Rhinolophus ferrumequinum: one gene and its partners. The protein of the gene in region 2 binds, or shares a complex with, the protein of the main gene of each other region. Links are inferred from orthologs where the notes say so. Each region holds a gene or a part of one and is shown on either strand. Other genes may lie near its edges. The genes, in order: RAB3IP, RAB8A, RAB3IL1 and RILPL2.

Evidence for each region.
Region 1: the proteins of RAB8A (region 2) and RAB3IP are in contact, whole or in part, in a crystal structure (PDB 4LHX), measured with the Homo sapiens proteins. The link is inferred for Rhinolophus ferrumequinum from reciprocal best matches to the Homo sapiens genes RAB8A and RAB3IP. Residues at the interface, in NP_005361.2 of Homo sapiens: Lys10, Phe33, Ser35, Thr36, Phe37, Ile43, Asp44, Phe45, Lys46, Ile47, Trp62, Ile73, Ala76, Tyr77, Arg79, Gly80; in NP_783322.1 of Homo sapiens: Ser199, Arg202, Asp203, Gly206, Leu209, Glu210, Thr213, Ala214, Phe217, Glu218, Ala220, His221, Val224, Asn228.
Region 3: the proteins of RAB8A (region 2) and RAB3IL1 are in contact, whole or in part, in a crystal structure (PDB 4LI0), measured with the Homo sapiens proteins. The link is inferred for Rhinolophus ferrumequinum from reciprocal best matches to the Homo sapiens genes RAB8A and RAB3IL1. Residues at the interface, in NP_005361.2 of Homo sapiens: Lys10, Phe33, Ser35, Phe37, Ile43, Asp44, Phe45, Lys46, Ile47, Gln60, Trp62, Thr72, Ile73, Thr75, Ala76, Tyr77, Arg79; in NP_037533.2 of Homo sapiens: Arg104, Glu108, Leu111, Glu112, Thr115, Ala116, Phe119, Glu120, Ala122, His123, Arg127.
Region 4: the proteins of RAB8A (region 2) and RILPL2 are in contact, whole or in part, in a crystal structure (PDB 6SQ2), measured with the Homo sapiens proteins. The link is inferred for Rhinolophus ferrumequinum from reciprocal best matches to the Homo sapiens genes RAB8A and RILPL2. Residues at the interface, in NP_005361.2 of Homo sapiens: Ile41, Gly42, Ile43, Asp44, Phe45, Lys46, Ile47, Lys58, Trp62, Phe70, Ile73, Tyr77; in NP_659495.1 of Homo sapiens: Leu135, Leu138, Arg139, Leu142, Gln143, Arg145, Asn146, Lys149, Ser150, Leu153, Glu157.

What each region holds. Positions count from the first base shown.
Region 1 is NC_046293.1:65,679,277-65,686,964, forward strand, and holds the start of RAB3IP (rab-3A-interacting protein), read left to right. Parts: upstream 1-4,680; 5' UTR 4,681-4,880; intron 4,881-4,964; exon of another isoform or gene 4,965-5,086; intron 5,087-5,252; exon of another isoform or gene 5,253-5,451; intron 5,452-6,558; 5' UTR 6,559-6,632; intron 6,633-7,688. UniProt on the Homo sapiens protein: Guanine nucleotide exchange factor (GEF) which may activate RAB8A and RAB8B. Promotes the exchange of GDP to GTP, converting inactive GDP-bound Rab proteins into their active GTP-bound form.
Region 2 is NC_046301.1:49,742,420-49,749,568, forward strand, and holds the start of RAB8A (ras-related protein Rab-8A), read left to right. Parts: upstream 1-4,131; 5' UTR 4,132-4,168; coding exon 4,169-4,379; intron 4,380-7,149. Other genes in the region: TPM4 (tropomyosin alpha-4 chain), read left to right, coding at 1-14. UniProt on the Homo sapiens protein: The small GTPases Rab are key regulators of intracellular membrane trafficking, from the formation of transport vesicles to their fusion with membranes.
Region 3 is NC_046294.1:9,034,439-9,041,422, forward strand, and holds the start of RAB3IL1 (guanine nucleotide exchange factor for Rab-3A), read left to right. Parts: upstream 1-3,973; 5' UTR 3,974-4,056; coding exon 4,057-4,190; intron 4,191-6,715; exon of another isoform or gene 6,716-6,870; coding exon of another isoform or gene 6,871-6,881; intron 6,882-6,984. UniProt on the Homo sapiens protein: Guanine nucleotide exchange factor (GEF) which may activate RAB3A, a GTPase that regulates synaptic vesicle exocytosis. Promotes the exchange of GDP to GTP, converting inactive GDP-bound Rab proteins into their active GTP-bound form.
Region 4 is NC_046308.1:4,394,853-4,402,677, forward strand, and holds the start of RILPL2 (RILP-like protein 2), read left to right. Parts: upstream 1-4,814; 5' UTR 4,815-4,957; intron 4,958-5,931; 5' UTR 5,932-7,135; coding exon 7,136-7,468; intron 7,469-7,825. UniProt on the Homo sapiens protein: Involved in cell shape and neuronal morphogenesis, positively regulating the establishment and maintenance of dendritic spines. Plays a role in cellular protein transport, including protein transport away from primary cilia.

The DNA of each region.
Region 1 (7,688 bases), on a different chromosome or scaffold from region 2:
GCTTCAGTCACAACTTGATCCAGGACGTCAAATAACGTGATCAGGACTCACACTGGGTCTTTTTACCTCTCAGATCTGCCTACTCCCTGTCAGTCCCATTCTCAGCCATGTTCTCCATTGCCAGCTACTGTCATTGCCTGCTTGAGTCATTTGCTTATTATGAACTAATCCCAGAGACCAGAGACCAAGATTCTTGAATTGGGTATGCGTGGGTCACATGCTCACCTTGAAGTGGGGGGGGGGGAATTCAGTTCCATTTGAATCATGTGAACCGAACATGGTGAAAGTGTACTTCCCCAAATAAAGTCATTGTGCTGATCCCCAAAAGGATAACGATGCTGAATATGAAAGAGAGGGAGCGAGGGAGGATCTAATTACTTGTTGCGTCAGACAAATTCATCCTCTGAAATGTTTTTCCTTGCCTGTTTTCATTGCAATATAAGCACTCACTATCTCATAGTAGCTTCCTATCTAATTTCTTTACCTCTAGTCATTCCTCACTCAAGTACGTTGTCGGCATTGCCACCACGTTCCTCTTCCTAAAGCACTGTTTTGATCATTTCACTCTCCAGCTCAAAGTCTTACAGGAACGCTCTTCTGACCACCACATGGCATTTATGAAATACAATCTGGCTCCCATGGACATTTATGAGCTACAATCTGGCTCCCATGTATCTTTCTAGGCTTATCTACCTGCAGTTGTTCCATGTGCTAACTAATCTGCATTGCTCACCATCCCTGAACACACTGCATGTTTTCCTTACAACGTCTTTGCTCTATTTGTATGTTCTACCCCATCACTGTTTCTTTGACCCTAAGTCTGATCTCTGATGATGAGCCAGACTGCTAGTTTTCTCCAGTATTTGTCCTCCCATTCTTCTTTAGTATTAGAACCACTGATTTTTAGCTGGGCACATGGCCACTTAAAAGAGACTACATGTTTGAACATCACTTAGTCAAGTTCTGACCAATAGGTGTAAGTGTGGTGATGTATACAACTTCTCCACATGTTCTTAAGTAAAGGCGCGTGCTCTTTTCTTCCCCTATCTCCTTTCTATGTTCTGGAAATAAGGATGTGATAGCTGGAGCTTGAGCAGCCATCATGGACCATAAGGCAGGAGCTGCATGTTCAAGATGGTGAAGATACAAGAGAGAAGACGGCTGTGTCCACGTTGATCAGAGAGCCACCACATCAACCCTGGACTTCCTACATTTGCAGGAGAGGAATAAATTTTATTTTGCTTAAGTTACTGTTATTTTGAGTTTTTAACTGCTATGGAAACCAATCTCTCCATGAAAAGATTATAAATATACAACATTGTATATATACATGTAAATATACAACATTTTCTGAACTTTGAAAATAGAACAGAGGCAAACAAGCAATAAAAATTATAACTAAGGGTAACAACCTTACAATGATTTGTTCAATTTTAAATTTCTAGATATCTGCACTCATCTCCTTTGTTTTCTGGTCCCAGGTATGGATGGGAAAGTCTTAAGATTTAAAAAAATATATAATATTATTTTATATGTTGTATTTTCCATTCAAAATCTAAGCAAAATGGGGGCATTATTTTAAGGATACAAGGATTTCTCACAGAACACATGGGAAATGATGAATGAGGGAAGTCTCAGAAATAGACTGGAACCCGGGACTGAAACACTGTGGGGAGCCAGGAAGCCCTCTCATTAAGTCTCACCTCTCCTTCTCTTTCCTCTTCCTGCAGATTATTTATGTACCTGGCAGAGAGAAGCAATCAATAAATATGTGTTTAATGGATGGCAAATTGTGTGTGTCTGTGAAATAAACGGGATCCAAAGCCCATTCTCAAAACATTTCCTTATACGTATGTAGCTTGTTAAAGTGACTCTTTTGAAGGAAACCATACTTTTTAGAGTCTAAGCTCCTTTCTCTCAGCCCTCAGATCTTTTCAGTCGTTCATTCCAACATTAGAAAAATGGCCTGAAATGCAGAGTTGTATATAAGTGACCTAATGAAAGATACTTTAGAGACAGTTCTGTTTTTGTACAGGAGTCGCGAAGGCAAATTTTTATGGGAATGTGAGCAGTGAGCACTGACACACAAGTAACTATTTTGCTAGACAAGGAAATGATAGATTGCCCTTGGTACTTTTTTCCCAGTAACCACACCCCCTTTTTTTTCCTCTTTATTATTTACTGTCTGAGTTCCTGCTTTTACCTAGTTTTGCCCTTGAGGGTTCTTGTCAGCTGATTGATATGTTTGATAAGATGTTTCATATATTTTATTTAGCACTTTTAGTTGTTTTTGGTGGGAGAATCAACCAGTATCTAGTCTGCCATACTGCTGGACATGAAATCCAGTATGCTTTTTTTTTAAAAAAAGAGTTTTAACTTCATTTGTTTGTAATATATTACCCTGCATTCTGCAGACCAGAGCCCTGACTCTGGTGATCCAAGTTCTCCATCTGTAACAATGAAGAATAACTACCTTTATACCTATGTCAAATTATTTTTTTGTAAAGGACTCATGACATACTTTATGTGAAGTCTGGAAAGTACCATGTAAATATAATTACTGGAAAGTACCATGTAAATATACAACATTTTCTGAATTTTGAAAATAAAACAGAGGCAAACAAGCAATAAAAATTATAACTAAGGGTAACAACCTTACAATGATTTGTTCAATTTTAAATTTCTAGATATCTGCACTCGTCTCCTTTGTTTTCTGGTCCCAGGTATGGATGGGAAAGTCTTAAGATTTAAAAAAATATATAATATTATTTTATATGTTGTATTTGACATTAGTTGTATACTGTCATTTATTTTTCAACGAAAGAGAAAGGAGGCAAACTTGAGCACACTACAAAATCACACTACAAAATATAGTGTGATTTTCAGCACACTAAAAATCATGTTTTTAAAGTGGTGAAGTATCTATCTCTTTAACTTATGGTTGGGCAATCTAACTTAGGATGCTCACAACACATTATATATTTTGCAGGCTGAGATTCTGAGTATCTAACACTCTGTAATGTACTTTGGTTTCTGTGCTGCAAGGACACTAAAGTATTATTGTAGGTAACTACCCATATCACTCTCTGCATTCTCAAACTATGATGGCAGATTAAGTATGTGAGAGAAAACACCTGTAAGTACTCATAGATTCCAAATAGCCTCATGGATAGTGGGTGATTTGTAAATAAACCAACATCGGATTTAGACCTATGGCTATCGCTTACTATTTCCTACAGATGAACGATGTCTAAGGTCCTATGTAGAATATATTATAGGACTGGTCCTGTAAACACTTCTATACCAAGAGAGTACATCTCCATGTATGTCATTCACCCATTCTGCATTTATTGAGCCAGCCCTACTACATGTCAGGCCTTGTGCCTGTTCTCAAGAAGCTCACAGTAATTGACATACGTGTATTTGTCTCCCTCACTATGTTTGAGTCTGTGGTCGAGATTATGTGTAATGGTTTCTATGTCCCTTTGTCCAGCAGTAGGCACATAGATGGAGCACAATAAATGTCTGATGAATGAATGGCATTCATTCATGACATGACATGAACGACATGGTATAAGGAAGAGTAGTTAGGAGTCTATTAATGAGGAAGGTCATATTTAGCAGCAGTGAATATGAGGTAGGATAGATTTAAGAATTATTTGGGAATTTGAATGGATAGGACTTGATATATGGGAAATGTGGTATAAATGAGTAAATAACGACTTTCTAGGTTTCTGTTTGGATTATAGGTGGATGATAAGAGTAATAATGTTATTAATAATACAGCTAATATTCGTCAGGCACTCTGTGTCATGCGGTACACTAAGTGTTTACATTATTTAACCATTTAATCTCTCAACGACTCAGTGAGGTAAGTACTCTTACCATCTTCCTTTACTGTTCAGAAAATTGGGGCTATTTAAAGATTAACTTGCCCAAGGTCACACAGCTAGTAGGTGGCAAATTCAAACCCAGGAATTCTGATTCCTATAGCCATACACATAACCTACTCTCTTATTCACTGCCTCGAATAGATGTACTCAATATACAGAATGATGATCCTATTCCATGTGTGTATTACATAAGTTGCACGTATCCATTTTAGTTAGACAGAGACACACGCGGTGATTGCTCTTTTTGATCAGATTTTAGGGGCTTGGTTGTGTACTTTCACTTTTCCTACCTGGAGTTCCTAAAGAAGTGTGGAAGTTTGATAGAGTTGACACAAAAGATGAGAGAAGGCAGGTACAGAAACGACATTCTCGAATGCTCTAGCAGCAGCTGGGATGACGGGATCTGGGTTCTATCGGACTCTCCACTCCCCACCCCCAACACCCCCGACACACACCCACACGCGCACGTTATAAGGTCTATATGGACACCAAGTTTCTCAGGTTGGTTCTAGCAGTTGTTAACTAACATCGAAGGTTCTTTTTCCGTCTCCGGCCGAGCCTAGCACACTCGAAGTTAACCCAAGACCTCCTATGGGGCCCAGGGAAACAAGGCTGTGCGCCGACTCGGGCTCGTTCCCCGGGAAACCGCCCTCAGCAACACCTGAGGCCCAAACCCCGGTACCTGGGAAAAGCACCTCTAGGCGCCAGGGGGCGCGGGAGCGCGCAGGCCCCTCGGGCCCCACGAGGCACCGCCCCAGCCCCGCCCCCAGCCGGCCTCCCCACGGCGGGGCCGGGCCGCTTCAGGCCCCGCTCACGGCGCAGGCGCAGTCCCACGCTCCCTCGGCGGCTCCCGGCGCAGTGCGCCCGCCGCGGCGAAGTGTAGCGGCGTCGGCCGGCGGTCGTCCGCCTCTCGCTGCTTGGGGGCGCGCTCTGTGGGGTTCTGTGAGCGCCCCTGAGCGCGGGCAGCGGCCGTCGTGGGTTCGTCAGGTGAGTGCGGCCGCGGGACGGAGAGGCCCGCGGCGCGGAGCACCGCCCCCCCTTGGCGCCCGCCTCACGCGAGCCGGCCTGGGGGGCGGCCGTGGCAGGTGCAGCTGCGGGCGCGGCGGAGGGTGCGGTGCACGGAGATCCGACCCGGATGCCTGGCCCGGCCAGCGCGCGCCCTCGCCTCGGCACGCGCGGGCTCCGGGACCCCAGTAAGCGGCGGCGGAGGCGCGGGGCTCTGGGCATCTGGGCACCCCCAGGGACCGCCGGTGGACGTCGGGCGGCGGCGGCTCCTCCCCCGCTCCCCGGGCACGGGCGCGTTACTCATTAACTGCGCGGTCCCGAGCACCCACGGCTGGGAGCCCGGAGCTGGGTTACCTGTAGGCGGGGCGCGCGCGGCTGAGGGCACGGGGTCGCGGAGGGGAGTCGAAAGAGAGTTCCCGAGTAAGTCTGGAGCTCGGTTCAGCGCAGGAGCCGGATCGTGGTGAAGCTGTAGGCGTGGACCAGGGGTCTCAGTGAAAGACGTGTGAGGCACCATCTCGAGGCGCAGAGGTCACTCTCGGGAGGTTTCGGTGAAACCTGGTGGGCAAGAACAAGCGCCCTGGAGTCGTGCCGTAGGAGGCAGCCCAGTTCAGCCTGACTTTTGTTTCGGGGAGTTGAGACGAGCTGCACAGACAGACATTATTGTGATTACATTGCTCTTCCAGCGATGACATCTCGCTCCGACCGCCGGGGGAAAAGCGAGCTTAATGGATTCTGGAAGTGATGGTGTTTGGTGGGACCTACAGCGCGAGAAGAGTAGCCAGTGGTTAAGGGATTAAAAAAAACAATCTGTAAATGGCTAAAGGGTAAATTGAGAGCGCTGAGTTAATACCGATTCCTAAGAGGCAAACAATTTAGTTTCGAGGAAATACAACATATTCCAAAGGCTACCTGTTTCACACTCTTGTGTTTCTCTCTCCAGCTCCTTCATTTTAGTGTAGGGAAAGATCCGTGTAATCTTTTGCCATGGAATGATTACATAATTGGAGCAGAGGCCGATAAGAGGATTAAAGCAAAACTGTTCCATTGTAAATCTATTGAAAGACCCAGTTTCTGTTCATTATCCTCACCCTCATTTTTTGTTCATGCAGTTAAAAAAACAAAACGTGAATGACAAATCAAGGAGAAGAGGCAGAATACATTTGTAGACCTATCATAGTGAATATCTGATGCTGTTAAATATTCCACCAGTTTTATGGGGCCTTGTTCTGTTAACATTTGTTATTTATTTACTAGTACTGTGCATTTTGATAGGACTTTTCATTTTTGGGTGGACGTTGTATCCCAAATATGGATTAAGTGATCTAATCCTGAAGCCCTTGTGGAATGTATAGAAAAAACTTAGCAGTTATGTACAATTTTACTACAATGGTGTATTTCTTGCTGTTAGAAGAAAAGCCTTTTAATTTTTTTCTTTTTCCACTACCTTAGTGCATACCTTTTTGAATCAGAGTGGATACATTTGTTTTTTTTTAGGTTACTTAATCTATTTCTCCTTCTAATTTTTTTTTTTTTTTTAAAGGAGGACGCAACCCATGCGCGGCTCAAACTGGCAACCTTGGGTTATTAGCGCCAACTGAGCTAACCGGCCACCCCCAAAAGTGGATACATTTAATACAGCTCTTTTTTATGTGTTTGGCAGTCAACCCACTCCGTGGTATTGAATACCTCTAACCTCTCATCTGGATGGATATTTGATGTTCAGCTGCTTGTGGGGTTTGTAATCAGCCAGGTTTCTAATTAGATACAATTGTACTTTTTGAATTAGTGTCCTTATGTATCTTCTTCCTTTAATATTTTTCCTCTATTTTTCCCTAAACCCTCAACCACCCCAACACACATACAGACACTCCACAAATAACTTTTAAAGTTGAAAGATTCTTAGAAATCTAGCTCCCCATCATTTTTTTTTAATATGGCAGAACAAAAGCTTGTAGGTTACAGTAGTTTTACATACATTATTGTGGTTATAGTATTCACCTCCTTTCCTCTCATCCTGAGCAGGACTCATTGAATCAATTAGCTGGCCAAATGAAAAATTATTAAATCTTAAAACAATTCTTTTTGTAAGTTTTAGCTCCCTTTACTTACTGTGCATGTGACCTTGAGTAAATCACTTCACCTCCCTGAGTTTATTTTCTCCATTTGTGAATTGATACAGTATTAGATGGAACCATATGAATTTGCTAGTCGTCACCTGTTTTTCATATGGTTCAACCTAATATTAAGTTTTTAATGGATGAAATTTAGGGAGATACTCCACATGGGATGTGAGGAGGTGGGGCAAGGGAGACATATAAACTTGACAGTGGGCCAGGCCCAGTGCTCTTGCTTTAGGTCCCTGTCTCCTTTAGTCCTGGGGACATTCCTGGGATATAGGTGGGATTGCGTTTTACAGTTTAGGAAGTTGAGGCTCAGAGAGGTGAAATAACTTGCCTATGGTTACTTATTTGCCAATGGTGATATAGCTGATTAATGGCAGAGCCAGGTTTAAAAACTGAGTGTGACTGCCCAAAATGGAACTCTTAATGTGCTTGCTTCTTCCATTCCTGGTCTACACACCTTCTGAAAGGTGTTCTTATCATTTGTATTTCTGGCTTAAAAAATATTCCAGTTTTCTGATGATGGTGATATACTGGCACCATTGGGTAGAGTTTCCCATGTATCAGGTTCTGGTCTAAGCACTATAGAAATTTCCTCTCACAGTGACCTAGGAGTTAGGTAATCCCTAATTCCATCCCTTTTTATAGTTGAGAGAGGTAGCGTGCCCAA
Region 2 (7,149 bases):
TTAATTGTATATAACCAAAACAGAAGAGTTGTTCCAACAGAAGCTCCAGACCTCCGTGTCTTTCTCTTCTCTTGTAAGAAGTTTCCTTTGTTACTGCATCTGCGCTTTGCTGGAAATGTCAAGCAAATTATGAATACGTGACCAAATATTTTGTATCAGAGAAGCTTTGAGCACCAGTTAAATCTAATTCCTTCCTTTTTTTTTTTTTCCCAAATGGCACCAGCTTTTTCAGCTCTATTTTTATCCTTAAATTGCATTTATCACTAAGGTAGGCAGGGTGTTTCCTATTGAACATAGTCTCTTAAGACTGAGGGCATTTGGTTCCCAGGAGATTAGACAATACCACACTTTCAAAACACAGAGTCCAATATCTAGTCACTGGTCAATTTAAAAGGCTGAAGAATAGAACCTCTGAGCCACCAGTGGACACACTACAGGAGGCCGGGGACCATCACATGAAAATGGGTGGGGGTTTTCCTTCCAGAGCAAAAAGGGGGCGGTGCTGTTGTGGGAAGTCATAAACCACAGATAGATTAACCTACTCACCCTGGCTTTTTTCCACATTCTACCATGCAGAACAAACATCTTCTGAGCAGTCAGCATGAGAATGCTGGGGAAATAGTCATAATACTCTGATAAGAAGCCATCCACTCAGCAGGAATGAATATGGTAGAATTTAGTACTGTTCATGGGACTATATCAAAAAGACTAGTCACCATCAATAATTTAGCAAAAGCATTTTTCTATTAATAAATATTGGTCAGAAAAGGCCTCTCTGGCAGCAGAGATAAAGTAACTGGCCTAACTTCATCTCTTCTGTACTTTAGGGAATGGTACATTGAAGATTTACGTGTCTAAGATTTTAATTCCTTCTTCAGGACCAAGTTAATAAAAGACCAGGAAACTCCTGATTAAACTGGATATGGAGTATTTTGTAGACAGGGCTGCACATGTTAGCTTTGTTACATTCTCGCTTTCTCGGTTAACATCTCAGAGCTGAAACATTCCATATTCCCCAGCAGTGGGGGGGGCCAGTTTACAATTCTGACTAAAAACCACCCTGCTTCTAGCTTATCCGACTCCTCTGCCCCTCACTCCTATTTATTACACATCACACTACCCAGGAGATACACTAGCAAATTGTGCAATTGAATAGAACCCACACTTTTCATTTAGATTCTTGCAGCTGTATCATATGTAATACGTAGTATCACTTTTTCTACATTTTGGTCAAATAAATTTTTACATAAACTATAATTTGTGTGACTTTTAGAATGCGTCGAGACATAGAAGGCATTTTGGTTCATTGAATGCATGGGATGCGGAGATAACTGCCACAAACTTAGCAAATTTTATTTATTGGCTGTATACCACAACTTCATGATGTGAGGATTGTGATCTCTTTATTACAGGTGAGAACACTTTGCCTCAGTAACTCAAAAGCTCCTGTCCTTTGTTATTCCCCAGTCCTGCTGAGCCAGGCTGTGAAGAATGAGGAAGGTTTTAATAGATGAGATAGGAGCAGGAAAGATGGTCCCTGTTGCTTGAGTCAGGAAAGCATAGGCCTGCCTGGGTACGGTCTTCTGTGTGTTGAGTATATAAAGGAAAGAAATCCACATTGATAAGAACCTTAATTTGGTCAGGAGTAGAAAGCCCCTGACATTAGGAAAACCCACTTAGCATTCATTTTCAGGAAGGGCTCTTAATAGAATGGAGGGAAACTAGTGGCAGGAAAACCAGTGAGGAAGATGTTTCCATTAATCCAGGGAAGCGTTGGCCGTGAAATCAGAAGGAAGAAGTGATCTGCAAGAAGTAATCTTACGATTTAGCTGACTGAATGGTACAGAACTTAAAAGTGTCAAAGGTGACTGCAGTTTCACTACCTGACTTGCTTTGGTATTTGCCTCAAGATCTGATATTGGGACAGGCGGGTAGGGAATCAAAAAGAGAAATGAAAGCCTTGAAAACACTGATGCAGTATGCAAACAATTTTTTGTTACCAAGTACAACTGAAAACATTTCCTGCTATTCAACACTTAGCTGACACTGAGCTCGTTTAGATGGTAGTTGAGAATGTCAAACAAGTGCCTTACCATCATTACTAAGGTGAAGTTCTTTCTCCCTCCTACCCACCCCCTTGGGCTGTAATCTAATCTCAGGAAATTGTGTTAGTCATCCTTGTGGCCCGGCAATTAACACAAATATTCAGTGTTTATTCAACTGCCCTGTCTCCGCTCTTTTGGAGTTCCCAGGCCCATGAAGTGTGGGTGGAACAGCAGATGAGGTTAGGACTAGGTTGTGAGGACTTTATCCTGCCCGTAGACCATGGATGGACATTGGGTAAGTGCTTTAGAATGGGCACACTGCAGGGTGGAATCTGGATTAGAGAATGATCGGGGAAACCAATGGAGAGAGGTGATGATCTCATGGGTGATGGAAATAGAAAAGCAAGATCCAAGAGCTATTTAGAACCTCCTTCAGAACCAGGATGTGAGGGATGAAAGAAAAGGCTCAAAGACAACTTATTTCAGTAAGAAGGTAATTCGGGACAAGCTAAGTGTGAGTAGAAGACAGTCGAGCTCAGTTGTGGACATGATGAATTTGAAGTATCTTTGACAAATCCAAAGGCAGATATCAAGAAAGTTAGACATTGAGGGATGGCTGGGCGGGCGATGGATTCTCTAAGAAGTGAAAATCACCAGTGTGGTTTCACTAGAAGCCACAGGAAGTAAGATCACTCAGAAAGTGGGAACAGATAGGAAGAACCGTGAGGAACATGGACATCTAGGGGACAATCAGTAACCCCCGCCACCCCCAAAGACTGCAAGGGAATCTGAGAAGCAGCAGCCAGAGAAAGGGAGGTGGACGTAGCTGGTAAACAGGCAATTAAAATGGAGGAGTGCCAAGAAAAGGAATTGCCAGAGGTGTTCAATAGCATCAAATACGGGGGGCAGGGGTGGGGGTGTGGGGGAGGGGGTCGGTAAAGCCTACAAGGTGTCCATGGCTCTGGACGAAGCTTTTTGGAAACATTAATAGAATGAGCTGAAATGCAAGGTCGGGGCGCCCTGGGGCCATCTCGGAAGATCCTCCGGCTCTGATGGCCCACAATGAGGGTTTGGCCCATCTCTGAGAAGCAGGAAACCCTAGTGATCAAGAACTTGGCCTCTGAAGCTTCCCGGTCTGAATTCAAAACCCAACTTCCCACTTCGGGGTCCGAGAAAGTCACTTAGCCTCTGTGGCCTCGGTTTTCTCACCATAAAACGTGGTTAAACAGCAATACCTACCCCACAGGGGGTTGGGGTGGCGATGAAATATTTTGGTATTAAGTGTTGACACCACTGGTGGACACAGAACCAGTGTTCCTCAATATACCTGTAATTCTCATTCTAAATCCCTCGGCGGGTTCTGGACCTCCGAGGGCTGACTGGGTTGGGGTGGGCAGGCTCCAGGGGAAGAACTGAAGGCAAAAAGCGGTCTGGACAACCTCTAATTAGGGCCGAGGGCATGTCGTGAGTTGTCCTAGCGCGCTCAGGTGGCGAAGGCCTGGGGATCTCTGAATAGGTCCCCTGGCCAGAGCTGGGATCCCGGAGCACGTCTCGGGGGCCCTCGCTTCGACTGTGACGATCTCTCTTCAATCCTTTCCTCTTCGGCTTATCCAGGCCTGACGTGGAGGCCCCAGAAAACACCGCCAAAACCATCGCACTTTCCCCCTCTCGCCCTAGCGCCTACTGAGCCTGTGCGGGCCGAGAGGGCGGGAGCCAGAGACCAACCCCACGAGCGTGCGCCCTCTGCTGGCGCCTAACGGTCTCCCCGGCGCGCGTGCGCACGAGCCCCAGGCCCCGCCCCCAGGCTGCGGGCGCGCGGAACCGTTGGTGCCGCTCCCCGCGCTTCCCCGCCCCTCGGGGGCGGGACGGGGCCTCCCAGAGTCGGTGAAAGAAGGCGGGGACCCGGGATGCCACGCCCCCTATCCTGGTCTTCATTTGAAGCCCCTCGACTCCTCACCGCTGGCCAATCGTAGCCCGCCCTGTCCCGAGCGTCGGCCAATGAGCGGCGCTCTCGGGCCTCTTCCGGCTCCGGGCCCCGCTCGCCCCTTCCCCAGATCTCCCCGCGATGGGCGGAGCACTGTGGCGGGCGTCGGCCGCGGTGACGCGCGGCGGGCCGGGAGCCAATGGGAGGTGGGCTGGGCGCTGATGGACGGGGCCAGCGGCCAGTGGCGAGGCGCTGGCTGCACTTCCCGTCGGGGAGAGAGTGTAATATGGCGAAGACCTACGATTACCTGTTCAAGCTGCTGCTGATCGGGGACTCGGGGGTGGGGAAGACCTGTGTCCTGTTCCGCTTCTCCGAGGACGCTTTCAACTCCACTTTCATCTCCACCATAGGTAGCGGGGCTGGGGAGCGGCCGGGGTCTCCGGAGGCCCGGGCTGGGCGCGCCCCTGAGGGGCAGGGGCTGAGGGAGGGGCCGAGCCGGACGGACCCAGGGGTCTGAGGGGGTCGAGGGGGTCCTTGGGGAGAAGAGCAGCCGCCTCCGCTAGCGTTCGGGCGTTCCCGGGCCATGTGGGGGAAACCAAGTGCCCATTTTGCAGATGAGGAGACTGAGGCCCCGATCCTCAGCCCCCTGTTAAGTGAGTGTATGTCCTGGGCTGGGGTCTTGGCGTCTGTCATTTTGTTCTGTCCTTACAGCAGCCCTTAAAGTAGTTCTTTTGGGGTCCCCGTCTTGCAGAAGTGAAACTGAGGCATGGGGAGTTGGCCGTGGGTAAAGACCCCTGACATCTGACTTTATTGAGAATGTACTGTGTGCCAGGCACTGTATGTGCATTATCACACTCTCCAGTTCTCTATATTAGGTCTGTTGTGAGCCCATCTCACAGATGGTGAATTTGAAGGTCAGGGAGGCGTGGGACTTATCTAAGGTCATACAGTCTTCAGGTGACAGCGATGGGATTTGAATCCATATGTGCCTGACCCCAAAACTCAAGGCTCAGCCATCCCAGAGAGTGGGAGCACAGGACAAGCACAGCTGATCCACCTTGGAGCCAGGACTCTAACCTAGACCTGTCCTGTTCTTTCTTCAGGAATAATCAGGGGTTAAGTCTCTAATCCCTGACCCTATGTCCCCCATAGGTGAATTTCCTCTAGAAGGAGTGGTGAGAGGGAGTCCAGAGCCTTTCCCTGCTCTGCCTCCCATCCCACTCAAGGGTCACAGCATTGGCAGGTGACAGCTGCCTTCCCTGGGACCTGTCATCCCCAAGGAGATGCCTGATAAAAAGCTTCAGTGAGAAACCGAAATCAGCCACTGCCACTGACAGCCCAGACTTCCCTATCATGAGGCCCAGGACACCGGTTGTCACTTTGCAGAACAGCCTTTCCCACAAAGCCAGCCCACATTGTGGTTGAACAGAATTGGCTTGTTGCTTTTCAGTTCTGACGGCCACAAAAATGGATCTGACTTCTCCTCATGCCACACAAACAGCTATTGCCCACGTGAAAAGGTTTGACCTGGGAGAGTAATACTGATCTATACAGCCTTGCTCCGCAGTGGAGAAGCTGGAAACGGTTGCCAAGCCCAGGAGTTGATTCTGAATGGAGAAACTCTAGGGAACAGGCTCTGCCTTACCCCAGTGTAACCTGAACCCAATGAACTCATCTCCTGAACCCCACGATGAAATGCTGATTGCCCTCCTTCAGGAGCTGCATTTTGCAAAACAATCAGGTGCCAGGTGCAAAGTAAAGAAAATTGTTCTGCTTGATTTCCAGCTGCTGTTCACCCTTGAACAATCACTTCACCTTTCTGAGCCTTGTTTCTTTAGTTTAGGAGTAGTGCTCTGTGCAGAGCCCTAGGTGGTGGAGGATCAGAACTGTACAATGAATAGAAGGTTGTCTGCCAGGGTCCGTCCAGAGGAAGCAGAGTGACTCCTGTAGTGATAGCGTCCCTCCCTGGGGCACAGGTGTTTCTGATTCTTCCCCTCCCCCGCTCCAAGCTTGAACCTTGGGATAACCCTTGAACCCCCACCAATCACTTAACACCTGGCAGGCTGTGGGTCACTCAACAGAGATCTCACTTTCCCAGTGTCAGGATCTTCCTGTTCAGCACAAGCACTACTGCGGTCAGTGCAAGGGTGGGTTTTTGTTTGGTTTCTGATTCTTGACCAGAAAGTCCAGGCTGGCATGCTAGGGCTCTGAGGAGGCTGGCCTCCACTTACAGAGGAGGCCATGACTTGGGCAAGGTCACCTAGGTAGGTGGAGGTGGCACTTGAACCCAGGATCCCTCCCACCCACTCTGTATTGGTTTCATGAAACTTTCCTGCAGGCCTCTGTCTTCTAGGAAAGTTTAATTCACCCTGACCTTGAAGTTACGGCCTCATAACTCTTAGGTCTCATAAAGTTTACACGTCCTAATTAAATTTGGTGTGTTAATAAAACCCGGGAGGAGGATAGGGCCGAGTGACGTGGGGCTCTGCCAACTGAATGGTGCTTCTTGATTTCATAGGTGCCTTGCATCTGTGATGAGATGGGAGGTGTTCTAGGAAGAGATGACCTGGGCCACTTAGTTTTGAAAGACAACCTAATGCATAAAGGGGAGTCTCTGTTGGCACTCAGTATACCTCTGGGTTTTCTTTATAGATCAGGGATTAAGTGGCTCTTCATTTTCTGCCCAGGTTATGTTTGCCAAAGTCTGTTTTTGTAAGCTCCATTGATTGTGTGTGGTGTGAACTTGGCCCTGTGGCTCCAGGAGTTGGTTCTCCCCAGCCTGGCTTGGCCCTCACTACCTCCTCAGGACCTCATTCATTCATTCCTTCAGGGAGACGGATGATGTTGGTAAAAGTGCTTTTTAAACCATGCAGCGCCACGTAGGTCCCGTTTCTCTTAATTCTTTCATTCAACCATCTTTCTGTGATGTCCGCTGTGTGCCTTGGTACGGGGGCTGCAGAGATGACTCGGATGAATCAGGGAGAAGCAGAACTGTAACAAGGCCTGTAGTCAAGGTGTGTGTGCAGGATGAGGCAGTTGGCTTCCAGAAAATAGGTATTCAGCCCCTGCCACGCTTAGTCACTGGATATGTGGCCATAAAACTTTTTGAGTCCCTGTTCTCATGTAGCTTATGGCCTAGTGGGCACAATTCAAGTGCAGGCTTATATTCTTTGCGGTCCC
Region 3 (6,984 bases), on a different chromosome or scaffold from region 2:
GCCTTTAGAATAAAGTCCAAACTCTTTAACTTGCCTCCAAGGCTTTTCATGATTCATCTGAAGCCTGCCCATGTAGTCTTTTCTTTACTGTCTTCCAAATTAGCTTAGAGCTCTAGCCAAAGTGAAGGGTTCATTTCTTTCTGTGTGTGCCCTGCTCTGTCCCACCTCCAAGCCTTTGTTGCTGATGGTCCCTCTGAATGGAATACCCATCCTCGATTTCTAATATATTTAAATCCTGCTATTTCTTCAAGCCCTCCTTTCTCAAAAAAAGCCTCACCTTACTCTTCCTCCTGAGAGAGTAAATGGTAGAGGGATAAGAACATGAGCTTTTGGAGTCAGAAAAACCTGGATTAAAATCCAAATTTCATCATTTGTTCACTGTTGCCAAATCATTTAACCTTTCCCAGTCTCAGTTCCCTCGTCTTTAACATGGAAACAGAAGGCAATGAAGGACCACAGTGGGTCACTGTGAGAGTGAATTAAGTCTGATATCAAATGTACATCTCCTAGCAGGGTCCTAGCCCACTCCACATTCTGCCATTTTGGAATGGAATTCGAGAACCAGTCAAAACTTCAGGGACGGATGTGACTAGAGGGACAGAGTAAGGTACCCCCACACTGTCCCTCTAGTCACATCCGCCTCTGAAGTTTTGACTGGTTCTCAAACTCCATTATGTGGCTGAGCTTTCCTACTTGGGAGATGGAAGTGGGCAAACAGGTTCCACCTGGGAGAAGCCAGCCCAGGCCCTTAGTCACCGTGGTGGGATTCCCACACCCGTTTGGACCCAAAGGAATCTCCTCTCTCCTTTCTTCATGTGAGCACCAGTGGTTTTTTCACTGGGAAATGTTTACGTCTCCAAAGGGGTACACTGGCCCTCACGATCAGTACTCATAGTATGGTAAGTCAAGCAGAACAAGGATAATCCTATTTTAGGGTGGGTAAACTGAGCCTCGCACTATCTTTCATACAGTTGGATCTAGGACTTGAACTTCTCAGTCTTACTCAGAGGCTCTCAGAGCCCTGGGCAGTTGTGGTGGGGAATCGGGGGGGCTCTGGCCCCAGAGCAGGAGATGGCGCATGAATCCTGGCTCCCAGGGTCTCCACCGCTTATCCACATGCTGGCAGGAAGCTCAGTGTCTGTATTTTCTTTGTGAACCTTGAGTAGGTTATCTCACCTGTGTCATCATTTGGGAAAGAGCAAGGGTATGTATGTCTCTGGGGCTGGGGGTGAGGGCGGGGACAGCACGGACCATGAGACGAGCAAGCTAGGATCAGGAACTCTGGATTCCAGCCCAGCTGTACACCTGCCTGGGCCGAAGTCCTGCCCTCTCTGGACCCCAACTGCCCTACCTGTAAAATGGGGGCGGTGGTAGGTAGAATGATCTCTGTCGTGGAAGCTTAACATTCCCGAAGTGCTGTCCTGGTCCAGCCCCTCCTGGAGCCCAGAATGTCCCTGGGGCCTGACTTCACCAGGTTGGCCCCACCAAATATCTGACAGCATTCGGCTGCCTCCACCCTCTGCCCTGTCCTTGCTCCAGGAGCCTGAGCCTGACTCCAGCTCCCCACCATGCTGGGACTGAGTGGGCAATGTCTTGGTCAGTCCTGAGAAGGGGACCTCCAGGCCCACATTTGACTTCTTGATCTTCTTCCCCTCTCCCTGGAGCCAGCATCCTCTCCTCCCCCCCTCTTGAAATCTGAGCTCAGGGATCCAGGGAGAACTCTCCCTGCAAAACATTCCATCCAGTTGTCCAAACACCCTGCACAGCTGGCGGAGGGAGGGGCGGCCAGAGCTGGGGCTTTTGAAAGCCCTTGGGCTGTTGTTTTCATGGAAATGGCGGAGTCTTCACTGGGAGGGCCAGCCCTGGCTGCCCTATGGGGTTCACAGGGCCCAGAGATAAAAGAAGAGCCCCCAACACAGGCACTCCTAGGCTTGCCCAAGGTCTCCCTCCCGAGTGCCCAGCCCCTGGTGAGGAAAATCCATGTCTGCCAGGCCAAGTGTGCACCACCACCTCTCCGCCTGCCTGCCGGCTAGAAGGTGGCTAGACAGCGGGCGGCTGGAGACCTTGTGAGCCTTCCCTCGTGACTGGGCTAAGCGGCGGGGGAAGGGCAGGAGAGAATGATGCTGAGATAGCATCCCCAGAGGTGACTTCCGGCAGCAGCTTTTACTGGCTTGCGGTCTCGGAGCTGGCTGCCTCTAGCCTGCAACTCACCAGTGACCCAGGGCAAGTCTCCAAGCCTCAGTTTCTTTCACCTGCAACAGCAGAGGGTTGGGCCTCTTCTGGCTCTGATTTTTCTAAGAGGTCACAGACTAGGACAAGACCCTTACAGCTCTCCATACAGTCCCAGCTGTGCCCAAGGGTCCAGAAAGTAGCAAAATTTTCTATACAGTTCCCAGAGCAACTCTGACTCAGTTTCCCCCCGAAGGGATGGCTGAGGCTTGGCAGGAAGGGACTATCTGTCATATACTTTGTTACCAACAAGGCTGAGCCTCTTCCCCTCTTGCCATGTTAGGGTGATGGGGAGACCCCCCCCCTTCATACATCCTGTTTTCCATTAATTGTTTCCAGGTGGGCCCAGAGGTTGCCCTGCAGAGGAAGGTGGGGACACGGAAGAATTTCGCAGGGGGATCAGTGAGGAGCAAAAACAGGAAGGGGGTGGGAGCAAGCCATGGAAACTTCATTGCCAGGAAAGGGAGGCCAGCATCTGGTTTGCATTAGGCTGAGAGAGAGCTCTGAAGCCCAAAGCCTGAGTGGGAGATATTGTTATCCGCAGGCGGGTGGGTGGGCGGGGTGTGACTTAGTCAGGAACTGGCAGCTTCTCCCCAGCGGGAGCTAGGAGGCTGACAGGAAAGAAGAAGGAAGGCGAGGGAGAAGGGAATAGGAAACGCTTGTTTTCGTCTCCACTGTGGCAGGCACTTCATGAATGTTCCCTCCTTAGATGTTCACAACATCTCAGGGGAGGATTGTTCCCATTTTATAGATGAGGGAACTGAGTCCCAGAGAGGTTAAGGGACTTGTCCAAGGTCACACAGCCAGGGAATAGCAGAACTAGGATGAGAATTCTGGCCAGATGAGACAGGGTGGAACATTCAAGTCCTCTGGGGTGGATTGAGGCTAACCATGTGCCAAGCAGGGGGCACTGAGGATTTGATGATTAGTGTGTGTCAGTCTATGCCCACGGGTCACTCAGTGGGGGTGTCCAACAGTGCCATGGGGCACTTGCCATGACACAAGGCAGACCACGTGTCTGAGGGTGGGAGCCCAATGCCTAGAGAAGAAGAAAGCAATTCACAGATGGCTTCCTGGAGGAGGGGGTATGAGCAAAAGAGAAATGTATCAGCAGGGGTGCGATGGGGTGGAGGCTGAAGGAAGAGGGGTTAATGTGCGGAAAAGGAGGGTTGTGGGGTGTATCAGGGCAGCTGGCCTGGTGTGCCTTACAGGGTGAGAGTCCATTTTACAGCTGGGGAAGCTGAGGTAAGAGAAGCTAACATGCCCAGAGGTTCACGTCTGGAAGTGGGGTAGAATCCAGCCTGACTCCAGGCCTGTGTTTTTAACTGCTTTATTGAGTGGTGCCTTTTTGTTGTTGGTTAAAGTTAAAGTTTTGAAGAGGATATTGAGGCCAGGGACCAGGGTAGGGGAGGCAGGGAACCTTGTCCAAAGCCACATGGCCAGCTCATGATAGAGCCAGAGCTGGACAGGTTATTTCCAACTTGCCATCCTGGGCAAGGAGGGGACAGGCAGCTGTATCTGTGGGCCTAGTTGAAGCCCTGGGGCCTTGGGCATGGAGACGAAGGCTCCCATTTCCCTTTGAGGACTCACCTTCCCTGGCCCAGAGCCCAGGAAGGACGGCCCCAGGGTTTTCTGCTGTCAGCTCAGCCACAGGAGTTAATAATTACGGTTTAAGGCGATAGAAGCTTGTCTGGGAGGCTCCTCCCTCACACGCAGCTGCTTCTCAGAGATAGCAAAGGTTAGCGTGAGCCTGCGGGTAGGGAGAAGGCTTCTGCCACCTGCCTGCCTGGCATTCTCCAGAGGGACCCTCGGTCCAGCCCTCCAGGCATGGACTCTTCTGAGGAGTGTACCGGGTGCCCTGCCCGAGGGAAATGTCCCGTGTACCTGGCAATGAGCTCAGGGACTGTTCGCTATGCTGCACTTGAGGGGAACTTGAGAGAGGAGCCTTGGGACACAGACAGGTGAGCTAGTGACCTGGGACATGGAGGGGAGGGATGCATTTGGCCACTCTACAGGAAAGTTGGGGGAGGGTGTGAGAAGCCAGGGTCCCAACCGGGGACTGGCCTAGGACAATGAGGAATTTCATGAGCCTCCTACAAGGTGAGTGCCAGGGGGTGGCCACGATTGTCTTGTCCAATTTGGTTATACAGATACAGAATCTGAAGCTCAGAGAGGGCATGACACTCACCGTGCATCACACAGTGAACTGAAGACACAATCAGGGCCTGGGTCATCCTGGCTGGCAGTTCAGCTCCTCATCTGCCTCCAGCCAAGGGTCTGTGATGGGGGTAGTCAGGGGAATTGCGGGGGTCAGATTTGGGGAAGGAAGGAGCTTGGGGGCAGAGGACACACCTTTTATTTCTCCCTCCCAACCTGTGGGCCAAGCACCCAGTAGGCGCCTCTTATTGCCTGACTGCCTACAGCTGCAGCTTCCAGTGAGTCCTCTGGCTTCTGGGCTGTCTTCTCAGAACATTGGTATGAGGGGTCTCAGTCCCACCACCCCATGGCTGTGTGACATCAGGCAGTTTCCTTAACTTCTCTGAGCCCATCCTTTTCAGCTGAGGAGCAGAACTTCCTGGACTATAGGAGAAGCTAGTGAGCCCTGGAAGTCCAAGGTAACTGGATGCATAGACAGGATATTTTTGGCTAGTAATTGGTGTGTCAATGATCTCAGAGTGGTGACCCCACACTTGTCGTTTGAGGCCTCGCTCAAGGGCCTCCACAGCCCACCAGCCCTTCCACGCTGAGGATTCTTCCTCTAAAGCCATAGCCCTGGGTGGACACACCCTTCACCCTTTATCTCTCCCTAGTTGGGGTTGTCAGACTTGGACCAGGTCTTATCTCCTGTCTGGGCTCGTGAAGATTTGGAGGGTAAGGGGCCCGACCTGAGCTCCCTTTGTGTCATCTTCTCGCCCTTCCCCTAAGTAGTGAGCAGAGCTAAGGGCCAGGAAGACAGCAGTTGCTCAAGTCTTATTTGGTGAAGGATTCAAGTCAGTAAACATGATGACATCTGCTTTCGGCCAGACCCTGGGCTGGGGTAGGTGCAGAAACAAGTGCCAAGAAGGAGCAGGTCCCCGTCCTTCGGAAGCCACAGTTGTTGAAACAATTGCCCTGCAGAGTGAAGGATATGTGGGGCCTGGGCAGGATGATTCTGCAACGATGGAAGGGATGCCCAGGTTGTTGACTGTGCAAGGCACCAGCCAAAGGAATGAGCGAACAAGGCATGAAATCCAGCCTACTCTCCGCTCACCAAGTCCTGCACCTTGGTGTGCCCACCTAGGAAAGGAGTACCACTGTCACTTTTGAACAAAGATACCATTCACTTAGCAAGGTAGTGTGCCTTGGACAAGTGGTGGTGCTGCAAGTCCTTGAGAGTATGTCCCCCTCCTTCCATCTCCCCCACCACACTGGAGCCCCAGGAGGACAGAGACTGTGTCTGGCAGTTTCCCTTTGGGTCCCCAGCCCTGTATGGCCCATAGTTCATACTCAGAAGGGGTTGAATGAATGAATGAATGAATGAATGAAAAATGTGTCCCCAGATGGAAACCTGACACACTCAAGCCTGGAGCCCTGGCTCTGTGAGGCTGGAAGAGTAGCGCCCAGAGTTCTGGTAGCATCTGGAAGAAAAGTACTTTCCTAACTCTCCCAGTCCTCCTCTAGACACAGAGAGTGGGAGCCCTTGTCCCTCCAGGAGAGAAAGGGGGTTATGCTCTCACTGGATCCAGCCCCAGGCTGAAGTTGAGGCAGATGGTCAGGGCAAAGCGCTCAGGATAGGTGACAGGGACACAGAGACTGAGGGACACAAAGGCCAATGGTCTGGGATTCAGGGAAAAGTTTTGCAAAGGATGACGGACCAGACAGGTGTGTGTGTGTATGGAGGCGGGGTGTATTCCTCGACAGAAGACCCTGGGCAAAGGCAAGGAGGGGCAGGGCTGGCATGGCAGGAGAGGCTGGGGTTGGAGACTTGGGCCAAACGTGGGTCCTGCCCGGGATAAGCACTCAGAGTAAAGACGGAGAACACTTGTTTGGGGGGTCTGCCAAACAGGCAGGATGTTGCACAGGGACAGGCAGGGAGCCCAGGGAAGGAGGGGTGGCCAGAGGGCCAGGTGAGGGGGTGGGAGGCTGTCTGCTGGCTCTGAGTTAAGAATGAGGGCGCTGAAAGCCCAGGAGCCTTTGCAGGTTCTTGAGCAGGGTGGCCCAGGGTGGGTGCCGCACGGTGCCTGTGCCGGGGCGGTGACTGGAGAGGGAGCAGCGGGGAGCGTCTGAACGCTGCGTTAGCAGCCGCATGATGTGGATACGGCTCCTCCCCGCACTCCGCCGGTGGCACAGTCCCGAGGCCCACGGCCGTGGGGTTGGGCGGGAGCGCGCGAGCTCTGCGCTGGCCGGCGGAGGGGCGGGGTTAGGCACGTGTCCTCGGGCCACCCTCTCGGCCACGTGACCCCCTGAGGGCAGGGTCGGGGCTGGGCTGGGGGCCCGGGCGCGAGCCGGGGCCGCACCGACAGACAGGCGGCGGGCAGGGCTGACAGCCGGCGGGGCAGGCCAGCCGGCCCGGGGCGGAGTCGGCGGCGGCGGCGGGGACGCGGCACAAGGGAGATCGCGGCGGCGGCGGGGACGGACGCCTGGACGCCCCGAGGCGCCGGGATGTGGAGTGGGTAGGTCCGCGCGCGCTCGCGGTTCTGCGCGGGGTCGGGCTGCGGCTGGGAGGGTCGAGGATCGCTGCGTGGCCTGCGCTTCCCACTTGGAGGTGCTCTGCTC
Region 4 (7,825 bases), on a different chromosome or scaffold from region 2:
GATCACCATGACTGCCACATCTATGTAATTAAAAACTATTACATACAAAATTAAGTATATACAAAATACTTTCTGAACCAAGCAGAATATGTGGAGGGCAACATGGACTATTCTACTAGAGATTTCTATAGAAGTTTCACACTAATACCATCTTAAAGCCAACACTTAGCATTGGGCACTGAGCTAATAAACTCATTTCATTCTCTCCTCAGAGCTTGGAGGAGTGTATTGTTATATTCCAAGGTGGGGCCTGGGCTGTCCCAGGTAGGGTGGAGGGCCTTAATTCCTTCCCCACCATAATCTCCTTCAATGCTCCCTCTAGCTCACCACCCTGAATCAATTTTTCACCTAAATTTAAAAAAAAAAAAAGACAGAAAAAGTGTACTCTTACACAAACCCGGCCTCAAAACAAGTGCCCTGGGCACCACCCTTCCTGCAAGGAGATTCTTTGATAACGACCTTTAACTCCAAGAGAGGAAGTCACTGGTCCAGGATTGCAGGCATTTAAGCCAATCTGGGAAAATCTCCAAAATCCTTGCTGTGTCCAAACAGGATTTAAGGGTAAGAAGACTAGGAAATCATTGAGAGAACAGGAAGAAAGTCATAGTGAGTGTTCCACTCAGGAAATAAAGGGTGCCACCGGTACTCAGAAGAGCATCAGATCTACTGTGCTTGATGTACCAAAATAGGGCCACCAGACATTTACTGATTTAACTTTCCTATTGGTGGACTAATTTAGCCCCCAAACATTTAAGGTTCCATTTTTATTAAGTGTGACCCACCCACTTTAGTTTCCCAGTTCTCTATTTCCTTTGTTTCACCCTGAGTTACTTCATACTCCTTTTGCAGTCACTTTGGTTTCTACTTAAAGGCAGGGGGAAAAAATATGCAGCTGCATGCCTGTCTTAAATCTCATGGGAAGAGTGTTTTTGAAATTATTTTTAAAACGTCATATAATGACGTTTTAAAAAGTTTTGTGGTAGTCATATTCTATGTGTGTTACTGATCCAACTTTCCATGTCTTGTTCCCATATAATTATATGAACTTAGGAAATGTCTTGTATTTCGTATTTTGGTGATAAAAGTAGTTTATAATAATATCCAACATCTACTGAGCACTTACCCTCAAATAACACCCTGAAAATAACACCTGTTTCCCTGAAAATAACACCTAACTGGAACATAAGCCCTAGCATGATTTTTAATAAGACATCCCCTGAAAATAAGCCTTAATGAGTCTTTTGGAGCAAAACTTACTATAAGACCCAGTCTTATTTTCAGGGAAACACGGTAGGGCTTATTTTCAGGTGATGTCTTACTAAAAATCATACTAGGGCTTATTTTCCGGTTAGGTCTTACTTTCGGGGAAACACAGTATGTGCCAGACACTGTTGTAAAGAACTTTACAACAATTGTAGGAAGTCAAGTCTATCCTTATCCCCATTTTACAGCTGGGAAAACTGAGCCCAGAGTAGAGGCATAATTTACTTGCCTACCATAACACAGTTTGCAAGTGGCTGAGCCAATCAAGATTTGAGCACTTTGTGGTCTGATCTAGAAGCCATCCTTTTAAACACTATGCTGTCACTCATTGTTTTTCAAACTTTTGTGTGCATCAGAATTACCTAGAGGGCTTGTTAAAACAGATTGCTGGGGCCCACCCCCAAAGCTTCTGATTCAGTGGGGTCGAGAATTTGCATTTCTAAAAAGTTTCCAGATGATGCCTAAGCTACTGGTCTGAAGAGCACAGTTTAAGTACTTCTGCTGTGACTCATAATTGTTTTCATAATTTCCCAATGGAGAAAGAAGGGTCATGATTACCTGCCAGCAGATTGTGTACTTGTACAAGGGATCTAAGAGTTAACGATCTAAGATCATTAACACTTCATAATAATAGCCAACACTCCCTGATTTTTATGATGTGCTAAATGCGGGACTAGGCACTTTTCATGCATTATCTCATCTAATCCCCACATCAGTCTTGGGGAATACATTTATTTTTCCCAGTTTACACTGAGGAAATGGGGATTTGAAGAGATTGGGGAGATTGGTCCAATTTATGCAGCTGTGAGATTCAAGTCAAGACTACTTGAACTCGACAGCCCTGTTTACTACACTACAGACTCCGCACATAGTAAATGCTCAGTAAGTAAACTATTAAATAAATGAACAAAAGAATCTTTTTTTTTTATATCAAAAGCGTAGCTACTCAATGGAAGACGTTTTGACATTCTAAAGGCATGATGTGCTAGTTTTCACTATGTAGCACAGGAGTATAAAGCAGGAAGGAGTATAAAGCAGGAAGGAAGCTTTACAGGGTAAATTATTGGGGAAATTTCAAGGCAGAAGGAATTTTTGACAAACAGTGGTGCAGAAGAGATTCATGCCAGCAGTGGTGGCTAGGGATGCTGAAGGAAAAAAAAAAGAAACTCAGAGACATTAAATTCTTTGTGACAGCATTGCTCTGGGAAGGCTGCTTCCATTTACCAGCACTGAAACATAATTCACATATAAAATTAACCCATGTAAAGTGTACAGTTCGGTGGTTTTTAGTATATTCACAGTTGTGCAACCATCACCACAATCTAATTTTAGAACGTTTTCATCACCTCAGAAGAAACCCTGTCCACCTTAGCAGTCACTCAGCATCCATCCTCCCCCAGCTCTAGACAACAGATAATCTACTTTCTGTCTCTACAGAATAGATTTGCTGTTCTGCACATTTTACATAAATGGAACCATACAATACGGGCCCTTTTGTGCCTGGCTTTTTGCACTTAGCAGAATGTTTTCAATGCTCATCCACGTTGTAGCATGTGTCAGTGCTTCATTCCTTAGCCCATCCCCAGCACTTCATCGAGGTATAATTTACCTAAAGGAAATGCACAAATATTAAGTGCACAGCTCCACAACTTTTTACCTATGCACATACTCATGTGACCTCCACCAAGATCAAGATATAGCACATTTGTATCCCTCCAGGGAACCTCCTTATGCACTTTTTAAAAATTTTTGGTAAAGTACAGTACACATAAGATAAAAACTACTATCTTCACCATTTCTAAGTGTACTGTTCAGTAATGTTAAGTATACACACATTATTGTGCAACCAATCTCCAGAACTTTTGCATCTTGCAAAACTGAAACTCTGTAATTTATTAAACAATTGCCCAGGCCCCCAACCCCTGGCAACCACCATTCTACTTTTCTGTTTCTATGAGTTTGGATTCTAGATACCTCATGTAAGTGAAATCATATATTATTTATCTTTTTGTGACTGCCTTATTTCATGTAGCGTAATGTTCTCAAGGTTCATCCATGGTGTAGCCTGTGTCAGAATTTCCTTTTTAAGGCTGAATTAATATTACATTATGTGTGTCATACCACATTTTGTTTACCCATTCATGCGTGGATGGACATTTGGGTAACTTCCACCTTGTGGCTAGTGGGAATAGCGCTGCTATGAGCACGAGTGTGCAGATATCTCTTTGAGACATTCTTTTGGATACATACTCAGAAGTGGAATTGCTGGATCATATGGTAATTCTATTTTTAATTTTTTGAGGAACGTCCATACTGTTTTCCATAGTGGCTACAGCATTTTACATTTCCACCAGCAGTGCACGAGGGTTCCAGTTATTCCACATCCTTGCCAACACTTATTTTCATTTTGTGTTTTTAATTGTGACCATCCTAATGGGTGTGAGGCGATATCTCATTGTGGTTTTAATTTGCATTTCCCTAATGATTAGAGATACTGAAAAGCATCATTTCCTGTGCTTATTGGCCACTTGTATATCTTTTTTGGAGAAATGTCTATTTAAGTCCTTTGCCATTATTTTCTATTTTTTCATAACAGCTTTATTGAAATATAATTCACGTACCATGTAATTCACCCATTTAAAGTGAACAATTCAAAGATTTGTCTATTCACAGAATTATCACCTTAATCAATTTTAGAACATTTTCTTCACCCCCAAAGGAAACTCCATACTCTTTGGCTATTATACCCCAGCCTTATTTTTTTGTTCTGTCTTTCAGCCTAAGGCAACCCTAATCTACTTTCTATCTCTATGGAGTTGCCTATCTCTATGGATTTTCTGGACATTTCATAGAAATAGAGTCATACAGTATGAGGTTTTCTGTGACTGCTTCTTTGACTTAGCATAACTTCTCAGTGAGAGTTGTGACAACATGTGTGAAATCCTGTCAATGAGGGAAGCTCATTAGAGACTCTGTGCAAAAGGTATTTATTGGGGACTGGCCATGCAGGCCCCCTGTGCCTACCACATACAAAAATTCCAGACTCCCAAGAGGAAAGTCAGCATTCACCATAAACCGTGGTGTTTGTGCAAACAGTTAAGGCACAGTGAGCTACTCTTATCAGTTGGGGTCATGGTAACCCTCCCCAAATCAAGTTCCCAGAACCTAGCCAGGGGCCAACCTTGCAAGCAGCATTTTCAAACGCTAGCATTCTCAGGCCTGCTGTGTTAACTCTTTTCTGCACAGATTTTTATAGGGACTGTGCTGATTCTGTCGATTAATGGAGATGTAAGATGGAGGATACTGCCATCTTAACAACACTAAGTATTACAACTGATGAACATGGGGTGTCTTTGCACTGATATAGGTCTTTCATTCCTCTCAGTGATGTTTTATAGTTTCCCGGGTACAAGTCTTGTACTGCTTTTGTTCAATTTATTTGAGTATTTTATTCCTTTTGATGACATTCTAAGTGGAATTGTTTTTCTTAATTTCATTTTCAGATTATTCCTTGCAAATGTATACTACAATTGGTTTTTGTGTATTGATCTTGTGTCCTGCAACCTCAAGCTTGTTTATTAGCTCTAATGATTTGTTTTGTGGATTCTTTAGCCTGTTACTATGATGGATTATTACATAGACTGATTTTTTTGAACCAGACTTGCATCCCTGGAATAAAATCCAGTTGGTCAAGGTATGTAATACTTTAATGTGCTAAATTCTGTTTATTAACTTCTTGCTAAGGATTTTGCATCATCTATTTTTACTTTGCCCCCACCCCCTCCCTTTTTTTTAAGGAGGGCACAGCTCATAGTGGCCCATGCGGTGATCGAACCGGCAACCTTGGTGTTATTAGCACCATGCTCTAACCAACTGAGCTAACTGGCCACCCAACTCTGCCCATTTTTTTAATCAGGCTATTTTTATTCTTTTGTTGTTGTTGTTATTGCATTGTAGGAGTTCTTTATATATTCTGGATATTAACCCCTTATTTGAAAATATTTTCTCTCACTCTGTAGGTTGCCTTTTCACTCTGTTCATTATGGTTTTTGATGTACAAGTTTTAAATTTTGATGTAATTTATCTATTTTGTCTTTTATCTATTTTTTTTTTCTTTTGTTGCCTGTGCTTTTGAAGAGATCATTGTCAAATCCAATGACACAAAGCTTCTCCCCTATGTTTCTTCTAAGATTTTTAAGAGTTCTAAGGTTTAGGTCTTTGATCCATTTTGAATTAATTTTTGTATATGGTATAAGGATCCAACTTCATACTTTTGCATGTGGGTATCCAATTTTCCAACACCATTTGTTGAAAAGACTGTCCATTCCCCAAGGAATGATCTTGACACACCTGTTGAAAATCATTTGACCGTATATGTGAGGTTTTATTTCTGGGCTCTCTATTCTATTCCTTCATGCTTTTCCCGCTGAATGATATTCCATTGTATGATATACCATATTTTATTTATGGTAAGCCTAATATTTCACTCAGTCTTTAATCACTGGTGTTGTAATGTCTGTAATTTATGGATTACCGACCCTTTGCCCTGGAGCCTCCCTTTAATCATGAGAACATTGTACCCTCTGAAAATAGTATGTTTTGTTTGTTTGCTTTGCTTTTTGTTTGTTTGTTTATTTTATCTTTGTCCACTGTCCATTGTGATTTTAGAACTTCAGTGTGGAGAAAATCAGGTCCATCTACCACAGAGAGAGCTGGCAATCTATTCCTGGGAAAGACAAGCTCCATTGCTGAGTTTTCGGCGGATGACTATTTCGAACCTCTAATCAAACCTGAAGTGATTGGTTTCGTAATCCGCACTGTTAATATTCTCAGTCATACCCTGTGTATCTGTAGGGGACTTTCTAATTTTCAAAATAGACTGAATTTTTTGTCGTTTATTACTCCTCCCACTCCAACCCCTGTGTGGAAGTGTCTTACAGGCAAGCTTAATGTTTGTTGGAGGAAAGAAAGAAGAATACCAGCTAACATTTTTTTAGTGCTTCCTAAGTGCTTTTTGTCACACGCATTATCTCATGATCTCCTCTAATATATTCTTCGCAGCAACCCTCCCACGTCAGTACTGCTATTTACAGGGGGGGAAACTGAGGCTCAGAGGAATTAAGTAACTTGGCCAAGGCCAGAACGTTGTTAAGCTTAGGAGCCCAGGAATGAGCAAAATGCAGAGCACAGGTTGTCTCCATTTTATGGACGGTCAGATGCGTCAGGGTTGACGACAAATTGGCCTGGGAACTCCGCGCATCTTCCTCCACGGAGCTCCCTCCACGTACATTGCACAGTCTAAGGCTGGAAAGCTTGCGTGTAGGAAGGAAAAAGTTGTGTGCTTTTTTACCCTCTTTCCCGGACTCGCGTGGGAAATTCCGCCCTCGTCTCCATGGAAACCGGCGTCGGTCGCGGCTGCCGTTAAGGGCGGGGCTCGCGGCCGCAGCTCCTCCCCCGGTTTGCAAAAGTTCCCAGGCGGGGAGCAGTCACTGTCACCCCGTCACCTCTCCTTTCCTCTTTTCGGCTGCCTTCCCTTTCCGTTGTTCTTTCGTGCCCCAAACCACATCCTGGAGGCCGCTCTTCTGCACCGTCCTCAGTGGAGCCTGCGCACCCGGCGTCCCGGCGGGGGAGCAGCGCGAACCCGGCGTCCCGGCGGGGGAGCAGCGCCTCGCGGCCTCCCTCTCCGCCGCCCCCCCCCGCCCCCCCCCCGGGCCCATCCCTCCGCTGCGCTGATTGGCCGCTCCCGGGCCATCCCCCAGCCGTGGGCAGGCAGGGTCCTCTGCCCAGCGGAAAGTTTTCCGAGTCGGGAGGAAGTTGGACCTTTGGAGACTCCCAGACGGCGGCTCCCGAGGCTGCAGGGGGCTGGGCGGCCATGGAAGAGCCCCCTTTGCGAGAAGAGGAAGGGGAGGAAGAAGAAGAGGAGGGTGACGAGGCTGGGCCCGAGGGGGCTCTGAGGAAGAGCCCCTTCCAGCTGACCGTGGAGGACGTGTATGACATCTCCTACGTGGTGGGCCGCGAGCTGATGGCCCTGGGCAGCGACCCGCGGGTGACACAGCTGCAGTTCAAAATTGTCCGCGTCCTGGAGATGCTGGAGACGCTGGTGAATGAGGGCAACCTCGCGGTGGAGGAGCTGAGAATGGAGCGGGACAACCTCAGGAAGGAGGTGGAGAGGCTGCGGAGAGAGGGCTCCGCGGCCACCCGCGAGGTGAGTGCGGGACGAGGGGGCTCGGCCCCAGCAGCCTGAGATGCGTGGGGGAGCGCCCACTGGCAGGGAGGCCCCTTTCCTCTCTCCAACATAGAGCCCCTCGAAACAAATCACTGCAAGAATTCAGTTCTCAGAGTGAAAGCATTACGACAGTTAACATTTATTGAGCATTTACTAGGTGCTGGGACACGTGCTGAGTATGTGGTAAATCAGTGGCTTCCAGCGTGTTTGACCATAACCTAGAGCCATGGTTCTCAAGCTTTACCACGCATCACAATCACTTGGAATGTTCGTTAATACACAGATTTCCTGGCCTCAGCCCCAGAGTTTCCAGTTCAGTAGGTCTGGACCGGGACC